2 linked regions of the Lytechinus pictus genome follow. Each later gene encodes a partner of the first gene's protein in a complex. Links are inferred from orthologs where the notes say so. Each region holds a gene or a part of one and is shown in the gene's direction. Other genes may lie near its edges.

Region 1 (16,414 bases):
CATTATATTACAGTACTTCAAATGTTGTTACAGTATCAAGGTATTAATGATAGTATAGCTGAATTATTCATCAATGGAAAGCAAATCAGCACATGTTCATGTAGGGCACATGATATTCTTGAGTGACAATCCAATCCATAGAGTATCTGGTATAATCTTTTTTCTTGTTTACCTTTTTTACCCAATTTTACAGCAAATCCCTCCACTTTTTTTAATTATTATTGCTAAAGTCAGATGGCATCAGTTTTGATGGGGAATGGATTTTTATTTGCTGACCCCAGACTTTGTAAAAGGCAGTAAAATACCTGTAATAGAGACATCTTTGGGGGGAAGCAAACTCTGTGTACAATCAAGAAATTCTTCGGCAAAGCATGCTAAGCCTTGTGCATGGACCTACTAGGTCCATGCCTTATGCAACTCTCAGGCCAGGAAAAGTGAGATATTGACTCTGCCATGATGCAATTTCCAGTGCATAACATCTGCTGGTAATAAATCTCATTCTACTCTGGGTGATTTATATCCAAATGGTGTAAAATTCTGAAACACAAAATAGTCTGTCTTTAGTGCAGTTACCTTTGATGTCCTGTCTGGACCCCAGCCATCTGTCTCAAATCCATTACATGTACACCATGTCAAGGGGAAAACCTTCCCATTGGAAACTGGGTATTTTCAAGTATGGTGTTGAAATCTGGTGTTAATGTGGTTTTAACACCAACTCCAGCCACAACACCATATTGAAATGAGGCTGGTTCTTGGCTTGTCCTTGGAAAACTTTGACAGATTTCCGGCAGAAAAGGAATTGTAATTCCAGGTTCAGTGTAAGTGTTTATTTTTTTATATGATTTGTTGTGTAATTGATTCATTGAAGTTATTACTTTGGTTATTTATTGAGGAAAGTTTTCATTCTTGCCGAACCATTTTATGCTTAAAATGATATGTTTATTTGTGCCTTCGGTACTATTTTGCTTATGAAACAAACTTTATAATGTTTTTGTTGTTGCTCATGTAGTAATTATTATATTGATAATACCTTATTTTTATGTGAAAATATTTATTTTTTCAGGTCTATACATTTCTTGATGAGCTCTGTTCTTGAAATTGGTCAACTTAAATTTGTAAGAAATACTAGATGCAGAGAACAAGTACTCAAGAAAAGTGTCAAGGTTGAATTAATATGATGTGAATTGTCTGTTTGATATCTTTCTGTGTATCTTTATCTATCTCACTCTCTTGCTCTCTTTATTTCCATTTTACCACTACTAAATATTGGTTGCACTGTTAAAACATTCCACTCAATTATTGTGATGTGTTTTTTTTTCTTTGCATTATTTTTATCCTTTTTTTCCACCACAATTTACTTCTGTTTTTTTTTCTTGATTCTTTGTTCTTCTCCTCCACCTCCTTATCCTTCTTCTCCATCATTATCTTTATCATCATCTTTTCCTGCCCCCTTCTGCTCTCTCTCTCTCTCTCTTCTTTGCTCTTTTCCCCTCCCCTGTTTCTTTTTTTCCTTCCACCTTATTTTGTTCTCAAATTTCATGCATTTGATTTATATTGTTTATTAGAACGCTCTTTTGCGAGCAGTGGTTGTGAATGAACTAGAGTTATGACAATAGTCTTTAATACAAAATATCATTATTTGCCCTTTGATTTATGTATTATTTTCATTTGTTGTGTATCTTTTAATTATTTTTCTCTGATTCCATTTTTGTCTCGCCTGCATAGCAGAGCAAATATTTTCCGACAGCGGCGTTGTCAACATTGAAATCTTAACCAAGGTTAGATTTTTTAAATGTCATCATAACTTTGAAAATTTAAGGATCTAGTTCATGAAACTTAGACATGAGAGCAATTAAGTATCTCTGAAGATCCTGTGCAAGTTTCAGATCGCATGATCAAGGTCAAAGGTCATTTAGGTTCAAGAACTGATAATGTTGGGGGTATTTTTGAAATTGCCATCATAACTTTAAAAGTTTATGGGTCTAGTTCATTAAACTTGGACTGAAGAGTAACCATGTATCCCTGAATATCCTGTACGCGTTTCAGGTCACATAACCAAGATCAAAGGTCAATTAACTTTGGCCGTGTCGGGGGTATTTGTTGAATTGGCATCATAACTTTAAAAGTTTATGGATCTACACATGTAGTTCATGAAACATAGACATAAGGGTAACCAAGTATGTTTTGCACATGTCTTAGGTCACATGATCATGGTCAAAGGTCATGTTGGGTCAATGGACGTAGTATTTTATTATCATATGAGTGTTTTCTTTTGTGAATGATAGCTGTTTTCAAAGTCAGCACTGCTGCTATGTCGAATCGCGTAATGCAGGCGAGACTGCCAGAGGCGTTCCACTTATTTAATCTTTTCCTTTGCTGCTGTCTTCTATATTTACTAAGAAATATATACTTCAAATTGTTATGATTTGATTTATAATGCAAACAAATAAACTAGCAAGTTTGCACCAAACCTTGTTTGTCTTTTCATTTATGATGGTTGAATGTGTGTGTGCCATTTTTAAGTAATTCTATATTGACTTTATGAAAAACTATTGTGAAAAAGTACACTTTACTAAATGTGTTATATTTTTTCCAGGCTTGCAACAGTATTTCATTGTATTATCATTGGTGCTCTTCTTATTTTCACATTCCCATTTTCCTTGTGAATCAACTTTGGTTGAGAATGTCTATTATTATGTAAAATATTAATGTATTAATCAAAATGACATGTACTTTGTTGTATATTTATGCAACTTTGTTTTTATCTTAGCTTCAGATATGTGTTCCATGTTTTATTTCTACAAATGCTATTGTGTTTTTTTTTCTTGATAGCAAGTTTGCATTGAGAAGCCATCAGTAAATATCAATTATTGATGTGAAATATATTTCTTAGTCTTTTAAACCGTTGTTGCAATTGATATCTGTTCATATGTGAATATTTCACTTATTTTGTCTGAAAAATTAATTTTATCATTTATATGTTCATACTGATGTATTGATATGGAAATAAGCATTGGAAATAATTTTGATGTGCAATTATTTCAATCATTTTGCCTGAAATATCACTTTTATAATACAAACAATACTGATGTATTGACATTAAAATCAACATTGTAAATGATTTCTAACAAAAAATATCTCAATTTGATTCTCTACCAAAATAATTTGATAGAGAAAATCGGAAAATTATTTTTTGACATTTCTAGTTTTTCTTTTCAATTTTATCTCATACATTTAGCTTTATAAAAATTATCTGCAGTCTTCTGTGTTTCTTTCCAATGTCAATGATTACTTGAGAATCCCCTTATTTTTTATTTATCAGTATTTATCAGAAATTCCATTCACAAGTTTCTATTTCAAACAACAAGTTTACAGGCTGAAATTGATGATAAATCATCTGAAAACTGACCAATGCTGATGTATTTTAGTTTTAAAACACTTATTTAATTATTATGTGCCATTATCCACTTTCTTGGCATTCTATTTCATTGAATTTTCAAGTGTTAAATAATAGAACAACCATTGTATGTCTGGATAGCCACCTTCCCTTTTTTCTAAATTTAACAAAGTATATCCTTTGCAAAAGTCAGGTATTTCCATTTCTCGATATTAAGGATCTTCAGATTTCACAACCTCATTCATGATGCAGAATTTCCTCTTCCTTAATGCTGCGCTCTCTCTAATTTATGAGGAGTAAGGCTGATAGTGATTGTGAATGAGAAATCCGAAGCTCCTTATTGACATTGTTAAACATTTTTGTAAAGTTCTAAAAATTAGCTGTATTGTCAGGTATGAAGTCAAGGCCAAAAGTTCCGTCACTAAAGAAGATCAACGTTTTTTGGTAGGTTTGTACATTTGACCTCGGCCAACGAAAGCAAAAGGTGGCCTGCTTCGACGTCATACCTGGATATACAGCCTGTCCAGACGTACATCTCAGTACATGTTTTGTATTGAACCAATTGTGCCTTACTATGGGTGTGTCTAGTCCATGGTCTAGTCCATCTTACTATGCCATGCCAATGGACCTTGTTTCTTAAACTTATCGATAGCATTTGCTTGTAAAACTATGACACCAAAGGATACTATACCATTTCCTTAAAAAGAAAGAGTACATGTAGCTCGTAACTTGCCGTTAGTAATTAATATTATCACATTGTCTTCATGTGTACCTTTCCCAGCTAAGATATGTGTGATGCATGAAGTAAGGCTACCATACTACATTTAGTACGTCTTTTTCTGAAGACTAGACACACCCCATATCATATGAATACTTCCAGAGTGCTTATCCCCTGTCTTCACAATCTCACCATGCCCCCCCCCCCCCTTCTCTCTCTCACCCTCTCCCTCTCTCTCTATCTGTCTCTCAATCTCTGATATTTGGTGGGGTTTATTTTTCTTTTTTCAGAAGTCAATAGAAACTGCATTTGGTGTTGGATTTTTTTTTCAGTGAATCATTTGCTGAAATTACTATATCAAGAAGGAGAGAAGGCCATGGATCCAGTATTCATCATCTTCACCAGTGTCATGCAGTCATGTCAAATTTGTGTGTCCATTTGCGGATCAATCGAGAAGTGCTTTGCAGTCATTTGTTGGGTTTTCTTCCTGGTCTGCCTTTGATTCTTTGTAGTGTTTCTTGATTTTTACCATTCTGTTTAAGTGTCAAGCCCGTTTCGTCTTCAAATATCTTGCCAGAGTGTTGGTGACTACTCAAGTGGAGCACATCTGTGTTTACCGGTATGTTCCATGGTCAAGAGACTGTTTTCATCTTTAACATGGTATAAGTTTGAAAAATTCTGATTGAAGAATGGATGGAGAAACCCTGGACAAATCTGTTCACAACTCATCCTGGTTGCTTGAATTCTCTTTTTTTTAATGTGCTTTAGTGTCTGCCATGCATGCAAACTTAAACAAATTTTGTGTTGATTGAAAAGCTGCTGATATTTGAGATGGTCTTTTTCTTCATTACAGGGATGATTCTTGTGTGCAGGATGACAGGCTTCCGTGATCCTAGATTCAATATATTTAGCAAAGATTTTAAAGCATTGTGATCCACATTTTAGTTGGCTACATTGTTTGCAGGAATATTCTCTCAGCGTATATCCTTTATCATAGCTCATCCTTCAACCAGCTTGGAATCTGAATAGAAGTAGTCCCCTTTAACTCAGGACAATCTATTTTTTTGTTCAATCCTAATCTCTTCCCCTTCCTCCCCTTTCGCATTCATACTGTCATAAGTGCACCCATTCCTTCATTTTCTTGACATTGCTATTCATTTCCGTTTCAGTTGATTAGGGGTAACCTTTCATGATGCTTTGCTGACAGAAGTGATGTTAGTGGCTAATCAATTGATCACTGGTTCTATAGTTGTATGTCGTCCTTGTCTTATTTGGGAAGGTTATTATCTGATATTCTTGGTGTAAAGTTTATCCCCAATTCACAAAGGCTCTTGGGTAACAATTCAAGTTTTCATGTGGTCTTCCATTTTGTTTTGTTGTCCATTCTGAAGAAAATATTTTGTCATTGGATTCTACTGTGATAAGCTCCAGAAATCACTTTGAGAATATCCACCACATGTTCCGACTCCTCTTTCTCTCCTGCCTCTCTGGAAGTATTCATGATTAACAAATTATATTCATGTCTGTTGAGTAATTTGCCACATTGTTAGAATGTAGGCCTTCAAGGTGTATGAATGTGCTCTGTTCTTACAAACAAGATTCAATCATTTGTGTTTCACAGTTTGTTGAAAATAAAATGTTATGGGGGTTGGGTCCTGTTTATAATCTCAATGATAGATCGTTTTGATATGCCTATTCTAGTACTACACAATGGTACAATCTTTTCATTTGAATCTCTTGACTGGTAAGGATTGGAGCACTTTCATAACCCTACTTTATTATTGACATAAATGAATGAAACACCTTGCATTCAAATCGTGTGTGATTTTTATACCTTGTGAATTTTTATAAACTCACTCTTTGCTAAATGTTCATGTTTATTTTTTTATGAAACAAAAATAATATTAAAAAAATAATTGAATAAAAGAATGAAAATCCTGAAAAAGTGTTTCCATGTGATGATTATTGTTTAGTAGGTTTTTTTTTTATTTTCATTTTTAGTTTTTTCTGTTAACTGTAGATATGAAATTATTACCCAGTATAAAAGTAAAACAATGAAGAGCAATTCTGTTATTTGTTTGTTTAACTGGGCAGTAGTATCATATTGAGAGTTCACAAACAGAAAGCCTTAATTGATAAAAAAAGGTAAAAATTTTAGAAAATGATGAAACCAGTTCGAGATGCAGTGAAAGGTTATTTTTCTTTTTATGGAATAGGAACTTAAAATTGAATTCATAGTTTGGCTTTATGGTTTTAATAGGTATCACTGATTATTTTCGTACCAAAAAGTCTGAGAACTGTCAAAAATTGACTTCTGTCCCCATTGCTAACCTTTGATATGAGTGAAAGTGATCATGAGATTAAGGGTTTCATAACTATAACAGATGTTCTGAATTCGACTATGGAAAGCCATTAGTCCCAATATTTATTTGCTAGTAGGGCATTTTCACATTCCCTTGAGAGGAGCACACTAAGGCCCATATTTTGAAGTCGGGTTCAACTTAGACCATGGTCTAACTCGGCTAAAATTATGGGAAGCCAAACGTTTCAAAATTTTGTTTTACAGTGAATGCTTCTCATGTTAACTGCTCTTCACGGATTAATGGTGAAGATATTTGTCTTATCCCTCCCAGGCAGTTGATAATGTTTAGGGAGTCAAATCAGCTGATACATTGAACCTCTACTGTTAGAGATTTATGTTACAACTGGCTTTCCATAAATAGTTAAACCGCAACTTGAAACCAGAGTTTAAATTAAACCCGACTTCAGAATACGGGCCTAAGGGTGTATCTAGGATTCCATGTATGAGGTTGAAATGACGAATGAGAGGACCAAAAAAATGAATTGATAAGAATTTTGTGGCAAGCAATGAAAAAAATTAAAGTGATGAAAAAAATGAGCAGCGCTGCTTTAAAATTTGTCGGGTCAGACAAGACAAAGAGAAACATGAATTCATCAATATAGGCGCAATTTGGAGCAAGATCTATAACATGCAGAGGAGAGGGGCAGTTACTTCCCCCCCCCCCCCATGACCATGGACAATAATAGGGCACGTGCCCATGCCTCCGCCCCCCCCCCTCCCATATGCTCCTTGAGCAAGTTCAAAGGTCAAAGTGAAGATGTAATCTCTTGAGAGCAAAGTTCCTTATGATTAAGCTTTCAGCATTTGAGATTGATTTTGAATGATTTCATAGGACAATTTTTCACAAAACTACAACTTACATATATTATAAATGAGCAATGATTTATAAAATTCAGAGAAAGTAAGTTCCAAGAGATCATCACTTCAGTGAATATGTATTAATGATCACTTTGCACCACTCCAAGACGATGTACAAATCCCCCAAATGCTCACACTTTTTAAAAACATGATGGCATTAAAGGAGAAGTTCACCCTAACAAAAAGTCTATTGTAAAAATAGCAGAAAAAAAATAATGGATATTGCCGAAGGTTTGAGAAAAGTTAGAAAATTAAATTTTTGATTTGTGACATAATATTCGCGAGCAGCTTGTAAAAATCAATGAAATTTCGTTTTCTCAGAACATAGAAAATGGTTTTTACTGTACCTTCAGTACAATGGACAAATCATTTCACATCCGTTCCTAAAAAAGAAAACATAAATAAGTCATCACGAACCATTAAAAATTGAAATTTATGTATTTTATATTACATAAAATATGGGCAGCTGCTGGTTTATCTTGTCACAAATCCAAAACCTGAAATTCTAATAACATTCTTAATATTTAATGGATTTTCTCAATGCTTTACCAATATCTTTCATTATTATTTTTTTTCTGTTCTATTTTTATCAGTTTTCGTCAGAGCGAACTTCCCTTTTAATGAAAGTCGCCAATAAAATGTATCAAAAGGAACTTTGAAAGGACAAAGGAGTTACAACACACTTCTTAGTCCAGGCTCGGGGCTTATCCATTTAGTATATTTGCTGTTTGGTCTTTGACACTTAACTTTTTCAAATTGTAATATTAATTTTCTAAATGCTGGTCTAATCATTTTATATATTTTGTCCCCCAAAAATAGTTGATTCATAATTGAGTTCATCTTATCATATAGACTAAGCGGTTGATAGACCAAGTCGACAATTAGACGAAATGGTAAATGAACTGAACGGTAATTACCCGGTAGACAAAATGTGAAGTAATGAAGTATAAGAAGCGGGTGCAGACCAAGTAGCAATTTAGCAAACGAAACTGATTAAAGGTTGCTAATAACCTTTCCCAGATTTTTCCTCAACATTTATTCTGGAAGATACCGTACAAGCTCGAAGGTTAATTTTGTCTTCCTTGGAGAAAAAAACTGTGGTAAATAAGTCTATTATTTTGTAAGTTAAGCAAAAATTTAATGAGATCTGTGTTTTCATTAGACATTTCATGTAATGAATAGAGTAATGTGTGCTTAGAGGTGGGATTTTCTGTGTAGAAATTATAGAAATTGATTGTGACGCAATCGGTACTCTCAAGCGATGTGAAGCCGAAGGGACTGCTGACCTGTTTGATCGGGTAAGGACCTATTTTGTACGGGAGACCGCTGGCGTAGGACGGTTACACCGTTTCGCTGCTGGTACTACTTGTTGCATTAACCGATGTTGAGTCAACTTCAGGCTGGATTGATCCGGGGATCGGGTACCTCGGGCGATGTTCGTGCAGGCTCCACTTCACTACCGCTACACTCCGCTCCACCTACCCGAACATCGGGACCGTGAACCATTTCGGATATACCGAGTCACAAAGGTGGGATGGCAATCATGATAATCGTAAAAAATTTTTAAAAAAATATAACGAAAAAGATGATTGACTTAATTAATATCTTACTCTACACCCGTATTTCACTCCGTTTCCATCCTCTGGTTATCCTCAAAATTGGTGATTTTGGGCCAGTATCTTTTCCCTCACACGTACCCACTCATCCTACGAACAAGGTTATTCGTTCTCGTGTGTATACACTAGCATGGCCAAAAAAAGCATCGACTATTTTCCTCCTCTTCCCTCACCCAAACATGACCTTATCGAACTAGATCAAGTGTGATACAAATTGACATAAATTTATATAACAAATATGATCTAATTGCTGAAAATAATATGAAAAATGACTAAAAACTCACCGATTTTTCCACCTCCGGTGACCTTCTTCTTCTTCTTCTTATGTTGGTTTGAGTGGCGATTAGTCATATTTGACTATTGTCGCCATTGACTCTATTAATAAAAAATCTCACTTCTCACATAATGATATTATTACCAATATGATGTATACATATATGAAATATTATTCTTGTGTATCCTTCTAATATGAAAAAGGATAATTATGGTATGTACAAAAGTTTGTTGTAACTCTTGTCAAAATGGCATATAAACAAATCTTCACCAAAAACAAACCGCTATCTTCAGCTCAGTTCCAACTAGTTGCGCTTGCCCTGCCCTTTCAAAGATGCAATCATACCGGTCAGCACGGACCGTCACTACTCTTGGTTCGTTCAATGGTGTTTGATCGTGACAAATCGAAAAAGAAAAAAATATCACGAAGCCATAGACTAGAGGTTCATCCACCCGGATGGATGAAACACTACTCGTGATGCATTCTGGTAAACATGTCTCGATAGCCTCTACAGATTGGCAATTTTGTTTCGTCTAGATAAACATGTTTAAAGAATAAAAAAGTCCAAAAACTCCAAATGGCTATTTTGGGGGGCTTATCTATAATATTTCTAGTACTGTATCCAGAGCATCATTTGTCTGTTTTCCTCTTCCCTTACCCTTTCTTTCTTTTTTCTTTTGAGCGTAAATTAATTCTTTTGATTTTTTATTTCTTACTTTTTTCTCAGTCTTTGTTCTTTGGTTTTTTTTTTCTTTATTTCTTAAGGGGAACTCTCCCCTCCTCCTGAAATTTAAGGGGTATTGAATGTGTATACCCCCCCCCCCCTCCGCCGCCTGTGACAACAATAATTCTTGTGTAAAAAAAAAATAGTGAACAAAATATTGAGTGTCAGGCAGTGGCGTACCCAGGATTTTTCAAAGGGGGGGGGCAAATTCGTCCGCCAAAAAATTTGGGAAAAAAAAAAAAAAAAAAGGTCTTCAAGTTCAAAAGAGGGGGCCACTTGTGGCTCGTCACAGGGATCAGTTGTGACTCGTCAGGGGGGCAGGGGTACGTCCCTTGCATGATTTGTGACTCGTCAGGGGGTGCAGTGTGCCCTCCCTGCCCCTTAGGTACGTTAGTGGTGTCGGGTGAGAAAAAGACTACAGTCCCCGGATCGCGGAGCTTCCTATTATTATGCTTCACCGGAAACAGGTAGGAGCTTATTGTAACCAGCTCTGTGGTTGCCACTGTTCAGTGGCTAGCTTTCTTTTATTCAGCACAAGAGGGCGTGCTGAAATACTTACGTAGGAGACTATGTTTACGCCGCCATCTTGTTTCCTATTGTTCTTCCCCAACGTTACAGACGCGGCCCGGGGGGGGGGGCCACTTCCATTGACGAGTGGATACCATGCACGACCATGAGATCTCAAAAAGCACCCTAAACACGTATTTTCCATCTGAAAATGCACCCCTTAACAAGTATTGGCATGTGAAACCCTCCCTTAACAAGTATTGGAAACAAAACGATACTGTAACAGTAAATTTTACTGGGTCTATGTATTCAATCTGTACTCTTACATTTGGCTTTCCATACTTTATTGTTTACATACAACTTGTTTATTTCCATTCCAACTCATCTCATCCTTCTTTCCATCCCCACAATCCACATACATTGTCATGATCTCATCTTTCATTCCATCTCCACAATACATCTCACATAGCAACACAGGTTCATTGCATTTCATTCTTTCATTCAGTTTCCCCTCAGTCATGCTTCCTGGTTTTCCATTAGCTTGCCACTCTACATGGTCTTATTGTTTAATTCTCATTAGGATTCAGTTTAACTCATGATCACCCTTCTCTATTCTCTGATTGGTTCTTATTTTTAAATAGGGTTAGTTCATTTTATAGTTCATACCATTTTCCTTGTATTTGATTGGTTGATTTCTATGATTATCCAATGTGGGTACAATGGCAGAACTTCCCAGAAGATTAGATTGGAAAGTAAAGTCAGTGCTGATCTGGACTTCATCGTGTTAAGTTCTAATTTATTCTGCGTTCACCCTATCTTCAGTTTAATAATTTTAGTTTAATTAAAGTAAGGAGAGCTTTGGAGATTGAATTTACAGGAGAGCATAGGAGACTGAAGTGCAAGAGTTTATGATTTTAGAGTGTACAAACGGTCATGTTACAATACTATTGGCAAGTATTCCCTGAATTGAACCCCTAAACAAGTACAGCGATATTTCAATTGTTATGTCACGGACGTCGGTATTACCTTTACCTACATCATTGACAGCCCAACCCGCAGCCCCACGCGTGCAAATCGTACTCTAAACACGTATAGTGTTGACTGCATGGGGCAAAAAGTACATCCTTTATAAAACATTTTAGTCTTGATTTTTTATACCCTCGCAAATTTGACCCTAAACACGTAGCTTTCATATCGAAAATAGATACCCTTTTTTCATTATTTTAGTGTTTTTGACACCCTTATTACGTTACGTACGTAATATGCCCTATCTTGAAAAAGACACCCATTTTACATGTTTTTTGGGTCGCGCATAGCCAGGCGGCTTCTAGAGAGTAAAAATAATTTACTAACGTAAGGTTACTCTCATACGAAGCCAGGCATTCCTCCCCATTCATCTGCGTGTACCGCAAAAAACCCTGAAACTTTCGCCCCCGAGATTTCTACTTTGCTTCTAAAAGATCTAGCTCTAAATCATGTACATGGGATAAAACTTCATTTCCGACATTTCTACGCTCTCGTTGTTATTTTGAAAACAAGAATTCATCAAAAAAATGAAAAAATATTATGAAAAGACGGAAGAGACTTGCCCGATGTTTACGCCGCCATCTTGTTTCTTATTGTACTTCCCCAACGTTACGCGACGCTCGCGTCCGTAACTCTGTCATCTTTTTTATCTTGACTTTTGTCATGGAAAGCAGTTGTGCAATACTGTGGACTAATCACTATGTTAGACAATCAAAACACCGCTTTTTTTTTCAATTTGCTGGCTTGCTGACTAGTCCAATGATTGCACAGTAGTGGTTCATGCCTTCATCATAGTCAGATGGTAGCGTGACCATCGGCAGTTACTAAAAACAAATTTGGGGTCGAGCATTTTACAAAGAAAAGTCAGGTTTTTATTACAATTTGGTTATACTAGTAATTTGCAAAATGATTACTATGATAGTTTTACAATTCAATTTTACCATCTGTCAGTGGGAAATGGTTTTCCAGAAATTCCACACCTTGTTTACTAGTAGTAGTTGCAGATATTCCTCAATCTTTGCAATTGATAAAATTTTGTAATATTTGAATTTATTAGCCATTTTCAGGAGCTGAAATGAGGGTAAAAAGTAGAGTGTAAAAAGATAAAAGTAAAAACTGCATAAAATGTCAGCTAATCTATTCAATTTGCTCACCAATTATTTTGTCATGCACTAGTAAAAATATTATATAACCTCTAAGTTAATTTCAGTCAGTGAACACTGGGAATAGATGGGACGGGCTCTATTTCGGCCTTAATGCTGGTGTCTCTCGGTCTCAGAAAGGCTCTTATGTGTCTTCGCTGGACTTTCACAATGATCTTTCTAGCATTTTGAAAGTTTGCTCAGCAAAGACTAAGACCAACAATTAAGTGATGATGTCAACATGAACAAAAAAATATAGCTGCAAAGTATTTATGATGTTGGATCTGAAGCAGGGGAAAAATTACACAGGGCTTGGGCGATTTAAGCCCCTAAAATGCTCAAAAGATTCTTTAAAAAGTGTGCTTGAAAATTTAATGCTAAAGCTTATCCAAAGTTGGGAAAAATAATAGCCCCCGAAAGTGAAAAAAAAATTGGGGGGGCTGATCTGAAGTCACAAAACCAATCTACATTTGTACTCTCCTTTAATTGTCATACAGGTAACCAAGAATGTGGAAGTTAAGACCAGCCCTGGCTCAAACTGCCCGATGGCATTCAGCTCAACTTCTTCATAAGGTAATGCTTAGGAATATGAAAGCTGTGTGCAAAGCTGTGTCAATTCAGGCAGAAAAGTGTCAGTGTAATATGCCTTGAAACAGGCACATCCTGAGACAGTGATCGTGTGTCCTTTGTGTCAGTCTCAGATGCTTAAAGGGAAATGTACCTTGGCAGGCACAGTTCTAGACTAAAAGTCTGCCCGTTTGTTTTTCTTTTTGCTGGTTGGGGTGGAGGGGGGTCGTGGGTAGCAATCAGAGTCAGAGATCAGTGCTTTATAAATTATATTGATTTAAGACCAAATATATCAGTAAATTTAAATTTGTCAGAGCTGATAGGTCATCATTGTAAACAGCTTTCATGAAATGGTTCCCAAATTTCTATGTCAGTAATTTGATAACATTTTTTTTTGCTGTACCCAGCTCTTTATGATGAGCTCCACTACAACCAGGAATTCCTTTCCTTCTCTCTCTCTTGATTATATATTTTTTTTGTACTGTTATTTTAGGCTGGAATACCAAGGGTAACATGTGTGAGCTGTATTCACAGAGAACCACTGAATGAAGAATGGACTAAGCTTGCCGAGAAACAGTTAAGGGGAGCCGACCCCAAGGAGAAACTCACATGGCATTCTCCAGAGGTAAGCTCTTACGCATTCAGGGGCCCATTACACAGAGTTTAGCAATTCATCATAAGAGTTGAATTTTAATTGTACATAATGATCAATGTAATCAAGAATAAAATACTTCCCTATGATCAACTGCTTAAAGCTAAATGATAGTAGTTGCAGTAAACACTGATTTCGTGAGAAAGTCTGTAAAACCAAGGTTAAGTATTACTATATCAACGTGGATCTAGATCTGGTACAGTTACATAAACTGAACTCTGTGAAATCATAAAATCTAAGCTGAAAAACGATCACACTGAAGATCGCCAACACAGATAGGCATATGTAGGACAGTATATTATTATTGCTGGAATAAAGACCCGACGGAAGTGCCCGAATCCGCACTTATTTTGCTTATTTCTCAGCAATTACACAATTTCTTCCAGGATCCTTTGGCACATATTTTTTATTCATACAAACAGACACTTGGGTGGTCATTATATTGGATTTTGTAAAAAGTCATTTTGAGATCGTTACCACAACTGGCATTTACCTTTAACTTTGAGTTACAGGGCCCAGAAAAAACAATTCATCAGCTCCTGTTCTTCAAATTGGCAACATCAGTGATTTTCTCTAACCCCATTCAGGGGCCTGGGGCCCGTAACACAAAGTAAAGCAATCATCGTAGAACAATATCTTTACCATTGATTGCATTGACTAAAATGTACAATCAATCGTACGATCAATCTCTAATCTTTGTGTTACAGGACCTTGGTACTCAAAGCTTCACGATTGATAATAGAGTTGGTTTCTATGTTCGATCTTACATAATAATCAGTGTATTCAAGTGTAAAAATCCGCCCTACGATCAACCGCTAAGCTTTGTGTTACAGCCTTACAGGGCCCAGAAAAATAAATAATTTGTGTCTTTAATTTATCAGCTTCTCTTCTGGAAATTGGGAACATCAGTGTTTTTTCTGTATTGATGCATAATTCTGTATAATATTCATGCAGCTGCAGTAAATCAATATTTACGTAAATAACAGTTTTGGAAGTTCCGTTTTGATTGACTATTTTCCGAGATGAATTAAAATGACGTCATGTCATCAAATATTCAAATACTGAATCCATATTTCCATGTGAACAGGGTATTTCTCTGAAGCCTCTCTTCACGCAGCAAGACACCGCAGAGCATCCTGATGACTTACCAGGCAAATACCCCTATACCAGAGGACCTTATCCTACTATGTATGCACAGAGACCATGGACGATTAGACAGGTATGGTCCTTGATTTGATGAGGTTGTTCTTGGGTATGTTTAAAGAGAGGGATAATTTCACTTTACAGAGAGAAATATAGATTTAGTCAGCATCAAAATATTTAATGTTCTTGAGGCTAATTGTAATTTATCCGATTGGTGCTTGCTTTAGAGTCCGTTTAGGAATCATGTTTATATTGTGGGCTTGAAGATATTCCCTGACACACATCACAGGGCTGCAAAAAAAAAGAAGTATAAATAGGAAAAAGAAGTAGTTGGATTAGGAGAGAGATAGTGGCAGAAGTAGTGTTTGTAGTGGTGGTGGCGGTTGTGGCAGAGGCAGAGGCTGCGACCTACAAGTAATAGATTTAATGCTGGTGGTAGTCGTAGAGAAGGAGAAGTGTTAGGAGTACGAGTATGAATGTTTGTTCAGGTTAGAATAGTGATAGTTGTAAAAGCAATAACAAATCCTGTTGGAGTGATGTATTTCAAGAATCGCTGTTCATGATTCACTGGTGATGATATTTTTACCATTACACTGACCAACAGGATTAAAGTGATTTCAAGAATAAAACTTTTCAAAATATATTTCATTACATAAATGATATTAAGTAGTAGATAAATAATCAATTGTTTTGTATGTAGTGATGTTGATTAAATATTGTGTAATTGATGTAATATTGTATTGCTTTATTGCTTTGTATATAGTGACATTAATCCATTATTTCTGTTTGTGATTTAGTATGCAGGTTTTAGTACTGTGGAAGAGAGTAATAGGTTTTATCGTGAGAACATCAAGGCTGGTCAACAGGGCCTCAGTGTAGCTTTTGACTTGGCGACTCATAGAGGGTAAGCTATCCTTCTGATATTCCTCTTTTTTATTCCAAGTGTCTCTCTTTTATTGAATATCTATTAGAAATGATCTAGATAATAGAATAACAATCCAATTTTACATTTGATTTTTGCGGTCCCAAATTATGGAACAGTTTACCAATTCATCTTTTATCTTGTACATCTGTTGAATCATTTTAAAGACATCTGAAAACGTATTTTTGTTGTAGCGTAATTGTAATATTGGAGAGTACCTGTATATGTAAAAGCGCATAGAGCTGTTTAATTAATTATGCGCTATATAAGCACCAATTTATTATTATTTTGTGTGCCTCATATGTATGTGATGAGAGGTTTGTGCAAGAGTTGAATAACTTTGGATGACCTTTAACTTTGTATTGACCTCCCTATATTGACCTTCCACCAGAAGTTGACCTTTAAGCCTGATGATATCTCCTTACAGGTATGACTCTGATAATCCCAGGGTACATGGGGATGTGGGCATGGCAGGTGTGGCCATTGATTCAGTGGAAGATATGAAG
Region 2 (15,694 bases), on another chromosome or scaffold:
ATGTACCCTATAGGACTTGAATACATATGTTGGTCATATACTGGGGTAACGGTGTGCAGCGCTCAAAATCATTATTTTAGATTAGCTAATGAAAGCTTAGTGGCAGTCGCTAGCCAAGGTAAATAAAACACTTTTGAAGCATTATGTAGCGAGTGAATGGTCAACCATGTACCCTATAGGACTTGAATACATATGTTGGTCATATACTGGGGTAACGGTGTGCAGCGCTCAAAATCATTATTTTAGATTAGCTAATGAAAGCTTAGTGGCAGTCGCTAGCCAAGGTAAATAAAACACTTTTGAAGCATTATATTACGTTAGCGAGTGAATGGTCAACCATGTACCCTATAGGACTTGAATACATATATATACTGGGGTAACGGTGTGCAGCGCTCAAAATCATTATTTTTGGAAGCATCATCATGTAATGGTTCTGACTCTCTCCTTGCGAGCAGAGGATTATGGGTAATCCTACAGCAAGAAATCTATCCACATTGGCCGATCTCAACCCAGGTGAGATGAACAGGTTTCCATTAGGGTCTAATACTTGAATACTTCAGCATCAAGAGGGCGGCTCAGCTACAGCTGGGGTAATAATATTTCAAGTGTTAAGTGCTATAAAGTATATGCTCATAGTAGTTGTGCTATATGAATAAGACCTATTTATTATTTTAAGCACTATATAAATGTTGCATATCATTATCATCATTATGATTTAATGCAATAAAAGTTTTATATATTGGTTTATTATTAAGTTACAAAGTAGAATTCATCCTGGAGTAAGCTATATTGTACTTGGATGCCATTTTTGTCTCACCTGCATAGCAGAGTGAGACTCTAGGCGCCGCTTTTCCGACGGCGGCAGTGGCGTCAACATCAAATCTTAACCGAAGGTTAAATTTTTGAAATGACAACATAACTTAGAAATTATATGACCTAGTTCATGAAACCTGGACATAAGGTTAATCAAGTATTACTGAGCATCCTGCCAGAGGTTCAGGTCACAGGACGAAGGTCAAAGGTCATTTAGGATTTTAGGGTCAATGAACTAAGACCATGTTGGGGGAGTCAATATCGAAATCTTAACCTAAGGTTAAGTTTTTGAAATGTCATCATAACTTAGAAAGTGTATGGACCTAGTTCATGAAACTTGGCCATAAGGGTAATCAAATGAAACTTGGACATAAGGTTAATCAAGTATTACTGAACATCCTGCCCGAGTTTCAGATCACAGGACGAAGGTCAAAGGTCATTTAGGGTCAATGAACTTAGACCATGTTGGGGGAGTCAATATCGAAATCTTAAGCTAAGGTTAAATGTTTGAATTACCATCATAACATTGAAGACTTATGGATCTGATTCATGAAACTTGGAAATAAGAGTTAACAAGTATCACTGAACATCCTGTGCGAGTTTCAGGTCACATGACCAAGGTCAAAGGTCATTTAAGGTCAATGAACTTTTGCCATGTTGGAGGTAATTATTAAATTGCTGTTGTAACTTTCAAAGTTTATGGATATAGTCTATGAATTGTGGACATATGGGTAACCAAGTATCACTGACAAGTCTTCGGTCACATGATCAAGGTCAAATGTCATTTAGGGTCAATGAACGTAGTATTGTATCATTATATGAATGGTGTTATTGTGAATAATTATTTTATAGTAGTTTTCAAAGTCAGCACTGCTGCTATATTGAATGGCATAATGCAGGTGAGACCGCTAGAGGCACTCCACTTGTTACTATTTCAAGCCAGTGTTTAGATTTCTTAACCCACTAACACCTGCATTCTATGTTTCCCTTTGTACAGAGACAATTGACTTCTACTCTAGGAAGATATACATAGAATGGTTGGTATCTATGTTCAGGGTGCCTTGTCATAAAGGTGTTTGTAAATTTATTCATGTCTGGTGACACTTTCTTATTCTGGATGAAGTACCTCAAATAATGCAGGCTTTTGGCTGATTCAGGTGATGACATGCCACATTGTACATGACATATGGGGTGTTCATATGTTCAGTCTTCTCTTCAGACCCAATCAGTCTACTGATGGGCATCACTAAGTCCCCCCTAAATAAACATCAATAATTTCCGAACAAATGCGAGTATTTAATATATTTTTACATGAGCGTGTAGGTAATTTTATAAGCTATCCTCTGAGTAAATGTTATGGACGTATATTACGTCATACTTCAGTGAGCACCGTCAAAAGGCAAATATGTCACTTTTCAAAAGTCACAAGCCAAATATCATTACTTTGATTCCATTTTATTGGAAGTAATTCCACATTCTCATCATGAAAAATACATGTAGTCAGAAGGCTTGTAAAAGGTACTTTCTAAAAGACGATACAACATTTTTGGCTAAATTTCACGGTTAATATAAACACAAGTCAAAATTTGCTATAATTGGATTGTTTACACATTTCTATTAATAAAAATGATAGAATATTATGACAGGTATTTTTGGGAAGAGTATCTTCAACAATATTCATCGTTTCACGGTTCCATGAACATTTTTTGAAAACATAAAACACGATTTTCAAATATCATAGGCGTGTAATGTTTCATTTTGGTAACTGAAAATGATCTTTCCTCAACTTTTTCGTTATTTTCATGACAAATTAACATCCGTCAATGATTCAAAGGCGTTTAATTAAACATTCACGCTTGAATGAACATGTGGAATGTGATTAGCTCTTTTTTACGTTATTGGAAAAAATGCAATTTGTAACTATGGATATCTTTCAAAAACCTCCTTGCATAGTTCATTTGATTTGATTTTTATGAAAATCCCGATGTTTAATACATCAGTGAGCACACAATATTCGAAAATTATGCAAATGAGAAGAAAGTTCAAGGCCTTGGCCCCACTCTGTGCCGTATTGAATGGTTATTTTGGTGTGCGCGCCTTTTGGATAGTGTTATTCTGAGGCCATGTGCGAAGTTTCATGAAATAACTGTTGGCAGAAGTAACAAAAACCGTCCATGAAACAAACCCTCATTTCATATTTGTTAAAATTTTGACTTCCTCTCTCATAGACTTGTGTACATTATGGGTGCATATGTTTAAGAATAAGTAACCCCTTATTCAATATGGTGGAACTTTTTTTCAAGGCTGTCTTTAGCAATGTCATTTGGCAGTAATGTTTATCAACCTACATGTATGGGCAGAATTCTGTGCAAAAATGAAATCGATTTGTTTAGTTATGGATGAGTGAGCACGCATCAAAGTGGGAAAATTTGTATTTTCAATGTCACAGACTCATTTTAAAGGGTAATAAAGTTAATATTGGGGGCAAATTCGGTTTCAAATGTGACTTTAATTGCTGCTGTTTTTATCATCCATCATTTCTATCACCACACACTTTCCGAACTTTAAACATTTTCATGGTTGAGCGAGCACATTCGAAAACTTAGGAATGAATACTCTTTATACTGCATAAATGTATTCTTTTCCTAACAATTTCTCATGATCAGTTTAATTTATGGACAAATCAGTGGTGGATCCAGAATTTTAAAATGGGGGAGGGCCTATAATCGGGGGAGACACCAACATTTTCAAATTTTAACATGATCTAACAAGTTGTAGAGGATACTACCATAAACCCCTATGATGATATGTCACAATACAGGGGCCGCGGAACGGTTTACAAAGTGGGGGGCTGACCATGCAAAAAATCACAATCGTATGGTCATTTTTACATTTTTGTACATGCTTTTGGAAAAAAGTGGGGGGGAGGGGGCTCAAGTCCCCCCCCCCCCCCCCCCCCGCTTCCGGGGCCCCTGCAATACATTGTGCTCACTCAACCATGAACATACGATATCAAAATTGTGTGTGGAGTGGCTAAATGATGGATAGTAAAACAGCATAACACCATAAAATTCACCTAAAAACAACTTTTGCCCAACTTTGTATTTGCACAATCTGAAAAAATACTCTTGTGACTTTCAAAAATGGTCATTTTTAAATCAATCTTTAATTAATCATGCATGGCTCAACCGATCAATCTCATTTTTCACCAGGAGTTGCTTAATGAGTGAAGAAAACCACCTACGAAATATCACATCTCAAAATATTTCCGTTCAAAAGTTACAGCAATTCGATTTAGGGGGGACTTACTTTTTTTGTGTGTATAGAATGAATAAGAATTTGAGGAAGCACTTAAGAATATCCCTAGTCATTTGTAAAGCCATACAAACAGCTCTTTGAAAGCCATTAGCCAGCAATGATTATTTCACCAGGGGTGTTCCATGAAAGCACTGACTTTGAAATCCTGTAACTGGCTGAGAATCAATGACAGCTTTACTATCCCCCCCCCCCCGCCCCTCACCCACTCCCACAAAACACAACATAGAATCATGGCCTACCTAAATTTTGGGTCATAAGGCTGAAAATGGAATGAAATCATTTCTAAGTTAGAAATATGTTATAGTGATGAATTGTTAGCACTTTATAAATCTAAAATGAATATAAAACAAAAATTTGGGCACGGAGTGGGGTCAGGAAAAATTCATGAACATTGACAAACTTAAGGTTAGTTCATTGTAAAGAGAAAATGGGTTCTTTGTGAAAGCATCATTGGTTTATCCCATAGATGTACATGGTCACATTTAATGTTTGTTTTATTACAATTTGGATTTATATAAAAGAAATAAACTATTAATTGTGGTTGTGAAATCATGATACATACATTCATATTGAACGTAAATTTGATGGCAAATTGGAAGTCAATTGTAATTAGTGAATTGTTTATTCATTGGCTATGTTGAAAGATGGATATCATTTTGAAGGAATGACAGATGTATATTTCATTAGGTTTGTCTGATGGTTTTGAGAGAACTTATACATGTTGCTGTATTGTATCAATGGTGTTTATTTGGATTGTTACATATAGGGTCCATGGTGTTAAAGGACTATGTTAGGAGAGTAAGTCATGTGTATTTCATATCAATAGTTATAACATTTCAATGCAGTTAAAGTTTCTTTCAATTTATTTATTTTCCCTTTTTCCCAGGGACATGCAAAAGAGTAACTTCTGCACAGTTCAAATAATTAGTAATTCACCTTTATCATCAATATTGAAATGGAATGTCTCCCCATAGTCCATCTATACAGATGACTGCGCCTTTATTATATTGAATGACTTTTAGAAAGTTCAAACGTTATTTCTTGTGAAAGCTAGTTATATCATTGCCTAGAGTCTATTCATACTTTTACAATGATAATAATAACAATAATTGTTTTGATATACTGTGCTTTAGTGTTTGCATGATGGATCATTTGATGAAACAGATGTTTATGAACAGAATATCAATCTTTTTAAAGATTATAATTATGTACACATTATCTCTCAACATTACATGAAATAAACATGTATTAGATGAATGTTAATATCAACAGGTTTTGTATCCGGCAGTATATTGGTGTATTGCTATATTCTACTTTTTTAAGAAGAGGGGAATAGAAATATATGAAGGGAGAGAGATTTGGGAGAGGTGGAGAACTAGAAGGGGAGGAGATTGAGAAAGAAATGGATCCGCAGATACTCTTTGCATACGCCTTAGTTTCATACGCTCTGTATCCGTCGAGCATCCGTCCACTGTGATTTCATTTTTTGCCAAATTTGTCCATTTCTGGAGCGGATGAAAGCGGATATGGGCCACCCCGAAATTTTGATTGTCCGCTGTATCCTTTATGCTTACGTTTTTACATGGATCAGAGGGGGGGTGGATATGGGAGAGAGATTGACAGAGAGAGTAGGAGGGGATCCAGGAGAGTTGTTGAGGGATACTGACACACAGGGAGAAGAGAGAAAAAACACAGGAGTTAGGGATAGAGAACAATATGATAAAGATGGTAATAGAAAGGAAAGATGATCAAATGAGGGGACGTTGACATTGGAGATGAGGGGTGGGGCTTATATTATAGTGAGATCGATAGAGAAGGGGTGAGATGTTTTCTTGGTTTTTGGGTGTGATAAACGTTATGGCAGAATGTAATCTTTAAACAACATTTTTAACAATTACATTTGTTGCAGTTGTATTCAACCCAAATGGAGAACTTCCCCAAATATTTAGAAATAATAATTTTATCTTAATTTTAGACCTACATGGTACTAGTAGTCTGTTACACTGTTGTCAGTATTTTCTTCATCAGTCTGTCGACTGTATGCGCGGATGATCAAATTATGCGGCAATGGGATCTGCACTAGATTGGCCTAGTATTCGCCTATATAGTGATGATAGATATCGAAATGGTGTTGACTACTCGGCTTTATCGAGATTTATGTCAGTCTCTGGCTGATTCCCTGTTTGGTCGCATCTCGAATGGTCTAGTCCATAGTTCGGATGCTGGGCCGGGTGAGGGTAGACCGGGAGGGTAGATTGTGAGATAGCACCATCTTTCATCACTGGGTGTCCCTGGGTGTTGACTATTAGTTCGTAGACCACATGTGTACTGGTGCAGGATAATGACAATACTGACAACATCAACATACAACCCTGAATTTCTCTTGAAAATAAGAAATTAAGGTCTGAAATTAATGTAGATTCCCTATTAATTTCTAAATATGAATTTGATGAAGTTCTCCAAACGGGCATACGTTGAATATTATAGATGTACGGTAGTAGGCCCGTGGTTGCAGGTAGTCTGCTGTGCAAACCCTTCACTCGAGTCAAGGGTCTGAATGTGCAGCCTACTCATAATGCGTTGTGCACTGAAGGCCCTCTCTAAAAACGGAAAGTTTTGTATGTACATTTTCCAATACATAAGAAAGGAAAGAAGGATGCTGTTGAAAACTACAGACCAATAAGCCTGACTTCAGTTATCGGAAAGATCATGGAATCTGTTGTGCGTGATGCCATTCTCAATCAACTTATTCAGAATGACTTATTGTGTGATGCACAACACGGATTTCTACCAGGAAGGTCTTGTGTCACACAACTGCTTGAAGTCATGGAATTGTGGACTGCCTCTCTTGATGAAGGATGTGAAGTTGATACCATCTACCTTGATTTCTGTAAAGCTTTCGATTCTGTGCCCCATGAACGACTGATGAACAAACTCAGATCCTATGGTATAACAGGTAGTCTGGGGAAATGGCTTTACAGCTTCTTGACCCATCGGAGGCAGAGAGTCGTCGTGAATGGAAAAACTTCACAGTGGTTACCTGTTAGAAGTGGAGTGCCTCAGGGTAGTGTCCTCGGACCGACAGTTTTTGTGGTATTCATCAACGATCTCCCTGAGGTAGTAAGCAGTATCGTAAAGATATACGCTGACGACATGCACCAAACTCTTCAGAGAGATCAGAATGGAAGATGACTATGACAGGCTACAAGCTGACTTAGACAACTTAGCTGAGTGGTCCAAGAAGTGGCAGCTCCAGTTTAATACAACGAAGTGCAGATCCCTCCATCTAGGTCATCAGAATACCCATCATCAGTATCATCTAGATGGAGATGTGCTGGAGGAAGTTTCAGAGGAAAAAGACTTGGGAGTCATTATGGACTCTCAACTGAAATTCCATTCCCAAGTAGCCAACGCAGTCTTGAAAGCTAATCGTGTGCTTGCTATGATTCGACGCACTTTCTTGCATAGAGACAAAGAAAACATCAAAAGGTTGTACAAGTCACTCGTGAGACCAATTCTTGAATATGCGAATGGAATATGGTACCCAAGATATGCTTCTGACTTGAAGGCTATTGAGAAAGTCCAGCGACGAGCGACCAAGCTAGTACCAGCCCTGAAAGAAATGGACTATGGCAGAAGGCTGCGTGAAATGAAATTACCCTCCATCAAGTACAGACTGCGCAGAGGAGACATGATACAAACCTATAAAATAATTTATGGCATTGATGATGTGAATAGAGACCTATTCTTCACATCAGCTACCACTCAAGCAACGCGTGGCCACCCTTACAAGCTATTTTTGAAAAGGAGTAGACTGGCAGTGAGACAAAACACCTTCAGTGTTAGAGTGGTTAATGACTGGAACTCTTTGCCTACTGAGGTAGTCACAGCATCAACAATCAATGGCTTCAAGACAAAGTTAGACAAGTTCTGGTCTGCGTGGCATTATGTTCACGCATGGGAATAGTGCCTATTTCATTCCAATACATTAATTGGCACAGCACATTGCACAAATAGCACAGACTCAGTTTTCGAACTTATCCAAGCTAGGAAGACAACAAGCTAGGAAGACAACAAGATAGGAGAACAACAAGATAGACCTGGAAACTTGACTGCAGCTAGGAACAACTGCATTTTTCCAGTAGATGCGGTATAAAGGATTTGGATAAAGGAAAATCAATTGACTGTATATATTTGGACTACAAAAAAGCATTTGATAGCGTCCCCCATCGAAGACTTCTGCTTAAGCTTCATTCATATGGAATCAGAGGTAGTGTCTTGAATTGGATCAGATCCTTCTTAAAGAACAGAGAGCAACGGGTGGTTGTTAATGGAGTTTTCTCAAATTCTGTTAGAGTCAGTAGTGGAATTCCCCAAGGGAGTGTTATCGGTCCGGAGCTATTTCTGATTTTCATAAATGATTTACCAGATGTCCTAGCTTCTCAAGCAAGTGTTATCAAGTTATTTGCTGACGATACCAAATTATTTGCTGAAGTTAACAACGATCAAGAATGGGAAATCCTTCAAGCTGATTTACTGAGGATTCAAAGTTGGGCAATCTTATGGCAACTTCCCTTCAATACAGGAAAATGTAAAGTCCTTCACTATGGCAGAAAGAACCTGCACTATGACTATAAGTTAAGTTTGGATGGCCCGACCATCGAAGTCAGCCACAGTGAAAAGGACTTGGGTGTCATTTTCGACGATCAGCTAAGTTTTTCTCAACACATAGATCAGATAGCAAAAGCAGGAAATAAGAAGATGGGGATCATCAAGAGATCTTTCTCATTCCTTGAACCTAAGAGCTTCAAACTACTTTATAAGTCCATAGTTCGACCTGCTTTGGAGTATTGTTCACAGATTTGGCATCCATACTTGAAGAAGGATCAGGAGAAACTCGAGAGAGTTCAACGAAGAGCTACAAAAGCAGTTCCAAGTTTACAGGTCAAAAGCTACCCGGAAAGATTGGCCCAATTGAAGTTACCTTCATTATCTTACCGACGTCACAGAGCAGATCTTGTCCAAGTATTCCGAATAACTCAAGGAACTGACGATCTAGAGACTTCTAAATTCTTCAAATTCAATGAAGACTCCAGAACTAGAGGACATATATATAAGATTGAGAAACCCAGAGCAAATACTCGAAAAAGACAAAATTCTTTCTCACACCGAGTAGTATCAGAGTGGAACAACCTGCCAAATCAAGTTGTGAAGAGTACTTCCATAAACTCTTTCAAATCAAACTTAGAGAAATCTTGGAACCTCAAAAAGGAAAAGTTTAACCCTGACCAATCCTTTACTTGCCCATGTTCCCATTAATAACGTTACCTGCTGAAACCACACATCGCCATATAACCTGTACCAGTTTATCTTCCACTATAATGACTTCATGAAATCAAGAAATTGGAAGGAGGAGAGGGGCAAACAAGTTTTTTAGGTAAAACTTTACGCCCACAACAAGGTATGTTACAAGGTATGTTATAGTCTTTGCGTGGAGACACACTTGTTGATCAAAGTTTCAATCATGGTAAATGGGTCTCTGTATACCATTTGTCTCTATTCAACAGATATTGAATATCAGCAATGTATACAGCTGTGGAAAGAGCAGAACAGGAGAAGTAGGTTTTAGGATCCTCTAAGGGTCTGTGCCTGAAGACTAGTATACGTGAACTAACTAGCGCCAGCGCTAGCCTTTGCACATAATTAAAGCTATAAAGACGTACCGGTATACCGTACTTCCCCGGGGGGTCGGGACAACTCGGACCACGGGACATCTCGGACCGCGGGCCGAGTTGTCCCACCGATTACGATAATTTTTTTTCACAAATTTGCGTCTATTTTTCCGTCATTTCGAAATTTCTTGTAAATCTTTTCTAGAGATATGGTCTGATGGTAATGTTCTTCACTTTCTATTACTTTTTTTTCGCTGAAATAAATAAAAAAGTGTAATTTTAGGCGTTTTTCGACAGCTCGCGATTCCCATAGGCGCGCGTGTATTAACTGTGTAGGTGCTCGGCTCGGCCCCGCTCAACAACTGACTTGATTTTGTGATCATTTCTCCTCAAGTTACCACTTTTATCGCAGAAGATGGACTTTCTTGTATTCCATTAACTCCATTTTCTCATCAAAAGGATAAAATTTGGAGTATTTGCACGATTTTCCTAAAGTTTTTCACCTTTTCTCTCTGGTCGTAAGAAGCGAACAACCGATGAACGGTCCGCTGCTCTTCATCGCAATTCTACGTAGCTCGGCCGCCTGAACTGGCGGGGTGGGATTCAGCCCGAATCCCCAATGGAAGTGGGCGTGCACTGTCAAAGAGCTGAGCTTGACTGAGTGAGAGAGTGAACTACAGCTTGAAGCTTGGCAGTGTCGTATAGCCTCTATAGGCTCTGCCTTTTTTTGTGTAGATATATATATACATTTTTATTTTTTCTATATTGATTTTCCCTGGTGTAGAGCTTTAATTAAGATTGTAATAATTTAATATGCTTTAATTTCTTTGACTGAGTGTGACTGTGGTGTGGATGTTTGAGTCGCACAAAAAATACTTTTACGTGGGTGGGGGCTCGGGGCGGTTCACTCCTGCCCCCGAAATGTGAAAAAATATTTGGGGTGTAGCTGTGTGGGCATGCTGGGCCGTGCTGAGGGTAGCCATCAATAAAAAAAATGTTTCATTGGGTCTTACTTTTTTAATGGAACTATAATTATTTTTAGGCCTATTTAATTTTTATATAAATTTCATTTTTATATTGAGTTTCCCTGGTGTAGAGAGCTGAGTTTTGGAGATGACGAGAGGGAGGAGGAGGTGAGGGATGGCGATGGTGAGAGGGATGAGGATCTTTGATGAGAGGGGTGCATGGAGATGGTGAGAGCGACGAGGATGTGAGGGATGGGGATGATCATGGGAGGAAATCCCAGGGGGGGGGGGGACGTGTCCCCCTACCAAAAATAGTAAGGGGGACACAATATCAAATGTCCACCCTACTATTTTTCTTCTTGAATAATGGAGAACAAATACATCATTCACAATCGAAATAATACATGTATTTAGGACTAAATGACCTTATATTTTTGAAAACACTTTTTTTTCTTGTCAAGTTTAGTGGTTTACGGTACAAATCTTTGTAAATTTACTAGAAAGTAGCTGTAAGTTTACGGACAAGATTTAACAGATAAAGTGCAATTTCTACGGAAACTTTGTAGAATTTACAGAAAAATCAGGTTAATGATAAATTTACTGACGTTGTCCGTAATTGTAGTGAAGATCATTATTGAAAGGAGACGTTTACGATACATCTTGTAAATTTACTGTAAAGTAGATGTAAGTTTATGGACAAGATTTAACAGATTAATTTGTAATATGTGTAAAGTGCAATTTCTTCGGAAAATTGTTTAAGGGGGGACTTACTTTTTTTGTTGTGTATAGATTGGAAAACAACACTAGGGCAACTTAGTGTTAGATACAGATTTCAGTTTTCTAGAATGGGTGATATTCTATTCAAAGAAAAACAAAAACAACATCACTCCAAAGGAACTGGAAAAATTATTTGATAAAAACAAAACCCTCTTCATAGTTGCTCTTTGCAATATCGTATTGACCACCCTTCTCCTGTTTTTAAAACCCAGACAAGCATGATTTGTTGCTACCCCCCCCCCCCCTTCCATGTACCTGTCATTTCTTTGTATTTTCCCTCGTTTTCTTTGTTTTTTCTATTGATCGATGTATCAGTGTTTAGTATTGTCTTTTTTTATACCAGTAATAGAATATAAATTTAATTGAAATGAGAGTGATGAACATAATGAGAAAGGGAGACAATGATAAGATAAGAATGGAAATAAAATATTACAATTTACAGAATATAACATATACATGTATATTTCTATTTATTCAAAGTTCACAATTCATTTTTATTCAGGTTTACATTTAAAATTTAAACAAGTTAATTAAGTGATTAAGTGATGCATTTTGGAACAATACTAAATTAAATACATTTTATATTGAATAAACAATAATTGGTAAAGATACAAAACACAAAACTTCTAACTCTATTCTTTCCTCCTGTAAAAAATTACAAACTAAATGAAATGGACATTAGTTCCAGTGGCAAATCGGGGGGGGGGGGCACATTCCGCCCCCCCCCCCCCCCTTGAGAGGTACTCAAAAGGCAACTGCTTGTCAAATTTTTCCTGGGAAAAAATTATGATTTGGTAGTGAAGACCTTTTGTCAAAAAATTCCTATACAAAATGCCCTCCGGCCCTGTAGGGAAATTTTGGATCCGCCCTTGATTATATTTCAGATGGGAATAAGACCGAGTGGCCCTAAAACTTGATTGAAAAAAATATTCACAACTGCAGGGCAAGGCTTCAGTCTCCAAGCTCACGACTGTGCAAGTACATCCACTTCCATTGGCAATTCCGGCTGAATTCCACCCTGGCAGCCTGACATCCACCCTTACCAAGAAATAAAATTAAAGAAAGTAAATCAGGGAAAAACAAGGAATGGCACAATGAATTACATCAATTTATTTTAAATCCTGTAAAAAATAAAAATAAGTAATAATTAATTTAATTAAAAATTAAGCCCCCAAATAAAACATTTTTTTACTGATGGCTACCCTCATTCCGGCATGCCCACACAGCTACACCCCAAATATTTTTTCACATTTCGGGGGCAGGAGTGAAATCGCCCCGAGCCCCCACCCACGTTAAAGTATATTTTGTGCGACTCAAACATCCATACCACAGTCACACTCAGAGTCAAAGAAATTGAAGCATATTAATTATTGCAACTTAAACTCAATATAAAAAAACAAAAATTAAATTTAAAAAAATATATAAAGGCCTAAAAGTAATCAATTTGATTAAAAAATTAAGCCCCCAAAATAATTTTTTTTTATTGATGGCTACCCTCAGCCCGGCATGCCAACACATTTACAACGCGAATATTTTTTCACATTTCGGGGGCAGGAGTGAAATCGCCCCGAGCCCCCACCCACGTAAAAGTATTTTTTGTGCGACTCAAACATCCACACCACAGTCATACTCAGTCAAAGAAATTAAAGCATATTAAATTATTACAATCTTAAAGCTCTACACCAGGGAAAATCAATATAGAAAAAATAAAAAAATATATATACATATTTACAAAAAAAAAGGCAGAGCCTATACGACACTGCCAAGCTTCAAGCTGTAGTTCACTCTCTCACTCAGTCAAGCTCAGCTCTTTGACAGTGCACGCCCACTTCCATTGGGGATTCGGGCTGAATCCCACCCCGCCAGTTCAGGCGGCCGAGCTACGTAGAATTGCGATGAAGAGCAGCGGACCGTTCATCGGTTGTTCGCTTCTTACGACCAGAGAGAAAAGGTGAAAAACTTTAGGAAAATCGTGCAAATACTCCAAATTTTATCCTTTTGATGAGAAAATGGAGTTAATGGAATACAAGAAAGTCCATCTTCTGCGATAAAAGTGGTAACTTGAGGAGAAATGATCACAAAATCAAGTCAGTTGTTGAGCGGGGCCGAGCCGAGCACCTACATAGTTAATACACGTGCGCCTATGGGAATCGCGAGCTGTCGAAAAACGCCTAAAATTACACTTTTTTATTTATTTCAGCGAAAAAAAAGTAATAGAAAGTGAAGAACATTACCATCAGACCATATCTCTAGAAAAGATTTACAAGAAATTTCGAAATGACGGGAAAATAGACGCAAATTTGTGGGAAAAAAATCACGAAACGGGTGAGACAACTCGGCCCACGGTCCGAGTTGTCCCGTGGTCCGAGTTGTCCCTGATTCGTACCCGGTACCCGGTACGTTCTTTGCATCAGCTATGGAGAAAACTAACGTTACTCGTTAGATCTGTTTTGTGGTTCCTGGAAAACTTTACTTTAGCATGAGGAAGTCAGGTCGAAGTCAGATGCTTTAAATTCAAGAGAAGCTTGTTGAAATTCATCAACATTTTTGCCCTAACAAGTTAGTCTACTCAGACGTTACGCTTGTCGTAAGTAACATATCGACTAAACTGTAAACGTTGTAGTATTTGTACGGTGCAGTGCAGTGCAGCTCCGCCGCGGCGGCCCGGCTAGCCAGGAGGCACCAGAGGCTCCTAGAGAGTTACCGGTACCTCGGGCGAAGTTCGTGCAGGCTCCACTTCACTACCGCTACCTACCCGAACTTCGGGACGGTGAACTTAGGCTTAGCCAGGCGGCTCTTGAGAGTAAAAATCATTTACTAACGTAGGCTTACTCTAAACGAAGCCAGGCAGTTCTCCCTATTCATCTGCGTGTACCGCAAAAAAACCTGAAACTTTCGCCCCAGACTCGCCAGAGATTTCTAATTTCCTTCTAAAATAGTAAAAAAAAAGATCTAGGGGCCTAGGCCCTAGCTCTAAATCATGTATAGTAGTGGATCGTATTAACGAACACTTTTCATGAATTCAATCATATCAAACACATTATTCTCATAAAATTCACCAAACTTTTAACATAAATACACAATTCCTACCGAGGCCTACAAAATATAAATATGTGAAAATTTTGCCGAAATCGTTTTTCCTTTTTACGATATTACTTAGCTCCTAATCGGACCCCTCTTCGAACGTGAAGTATTTTGGTCACTTGAAAAAGGTATCGTATTACCGAACGTGTGTTTTCAATGGGAAAAGTTGAGAAAACAACAAAAATACTTATGAGCTATTTAGAGTGATATCTCCTTGTTTTGACCATATTTTATTATTGTTAGAATATTAAGACTTTGAAAATGTGTTTTTGACCATTTTTCATCAATTTCTATTCAGGTTCTCTTTGGAAGGATGTTGCGAAATTTTGAGCGTATGAATTTATTTTCTGATGCGTGCGTTCGGTAATACAATCACTCACCAAAAGATTCGCCTGCAGCTAACCCAGGGAAAAACCCAGGGGCTTACCGTGTATTTGACCATACTCACGGGACTAGGGTGATTTATGGTCTAAATATTTCTCCAAATGAATTGTGAAAACAGAAAGTATACAATTACCACGATTATATGGATGAAGGTCTAACGAGTGGCAGTTTCCTGACATCTGGGCACAGACTGGAACCTCAAAAAAACGAAAAGTTCTCTCCTTCTACCCCCGTCTCGATCGGCCATTTTTGTTAAAATTCGTAACAAAATGGCCGATCAAGACTGGGGTAGAAGGAGAGAACTTTACCGTGTATTTGACCATACTCACAGGACTAGGGTGATTTATGGTCTAAATATTTCTCCAAATGAATTGTGAAAACAGAAAGTATACAATTACCACGATTATATGGATGAAGGTCTAACGAGTGGCAGTTTCCTGACATCTGGGCACAGACTGGAACCTCAAAAAAACGAAAAGTTCTCTCCTTCTACCCCCGTCTCGATCGGCCATTTTTTTTTAAAATCGTAACAAAATGGCCGATCGAGACTGGGGTAGAAGGAGAGAACTTTTCGTTTTTTTAACAAAGACAATAGTGGAACGTTTCTCTCGGATTATTTTCGCAAAATCGATGTCACTGGTAAAGCACGATGAGAAAAATATGAAAATACGGGGGAAACTT

What was found.
Region 2: the proteins of methylmalonyl-CoA mutase, mitochondrial-like (region 1) and methylmalonic aciduria type A homolog, mitochondrial-like are in contact, whole or in part, in a crystal structure (PDB 8GJU), measured with the Homo sapiens proteins. The link is inferred for Lytechinus pictus from reciprocal best matches to the Homo sapiens genes MMUT and MMAA. Residues at the interface, in NP_000246.2 of Homo sapiens: Lys496, Glu609, Arg610, Glu611, Gly612, Arg613, Arg614, Arg616, Ala635, Thr636, Ala639, Asp640, Gly642, Phe643, Asp644, Val645, Asp646, Ile647, Gly648, Pro649, Leu650, Phe651, Gln652, Glu656, Gln659, Gln660, Val662, Asp663, Ala664, Asp665; in NP_001362573.1 of Homo sapiens: Arg98, Ala99, Ala102, Glu103, Thr106, Glu109, Ser110, Thr111, His112, Ser182, Ser186, Gly187, Gly188, Ser189, Leu190, Leu191, Lys194, Thr195, Met197, Thr198, Ser201, Arg202, Met204, Tyr207, Ile208, Arg209, Pro210, Ser211, Pro212, Arg214.

Annotation. Positions count from the first base shown.
Region 1 is NC_087257.1:22,374,465-22,390,878, forward strand, and holds the start of methylmalonyl-CoA mutase, mitochondrial-like, read left to right. Parts: upstream 1-8,372; 5' UTR 8,373-8,864; intron 8,865-13,121; 5' UTR 13,122-13,131; coding exon 13,132-13,197; intron 13,198-13,684; coding exon 13,685-13,816; intron 13,817-14,930; coding exon 14,931-15,062; intron 15,063-15,783; coding exon 15,784-15,890; intron 15,891-16,335; coding exon 16,336-16,414. UniProt on the Homo sapiens protein: Catalyzes the reversible isomerization of methylmalonyl-CoA (MMCoA) (generated from branched-chain amino acid metabolism and degradation of dietary odd chain fatty acids and cholesterol) to succinyl-CoA (3-carboxypropionyl-CoA), a key intermediate of the tricarboxylic acid cycle.
Region 2 is NW_026974141.1:16,222,790-16,238,483, forward strand, and holds the start of methylmalonic aciduria type A homolog, mitochondrial-like, read left to right. Parts: upstream 1-9,896; 5' UTR 9,897-10,023; intron 10,024-10,120; exon of another isoform or gene 10,121-10,196; intron 10,197-13,340; exon of another isoform or gene 13,341-14,023; 5' UTR 14,024-14,132; intron 14,133-15,694. UniProt on the Homo sapiens protein: GTPase, binds and hydrolyzes GTP. Involved in intracellular vitamin B12 metabolism, mediates the transport of cobalamin (Cbl) into mitochondria for the final steps of adenosylcobalamin (AdoCbl) synthesis.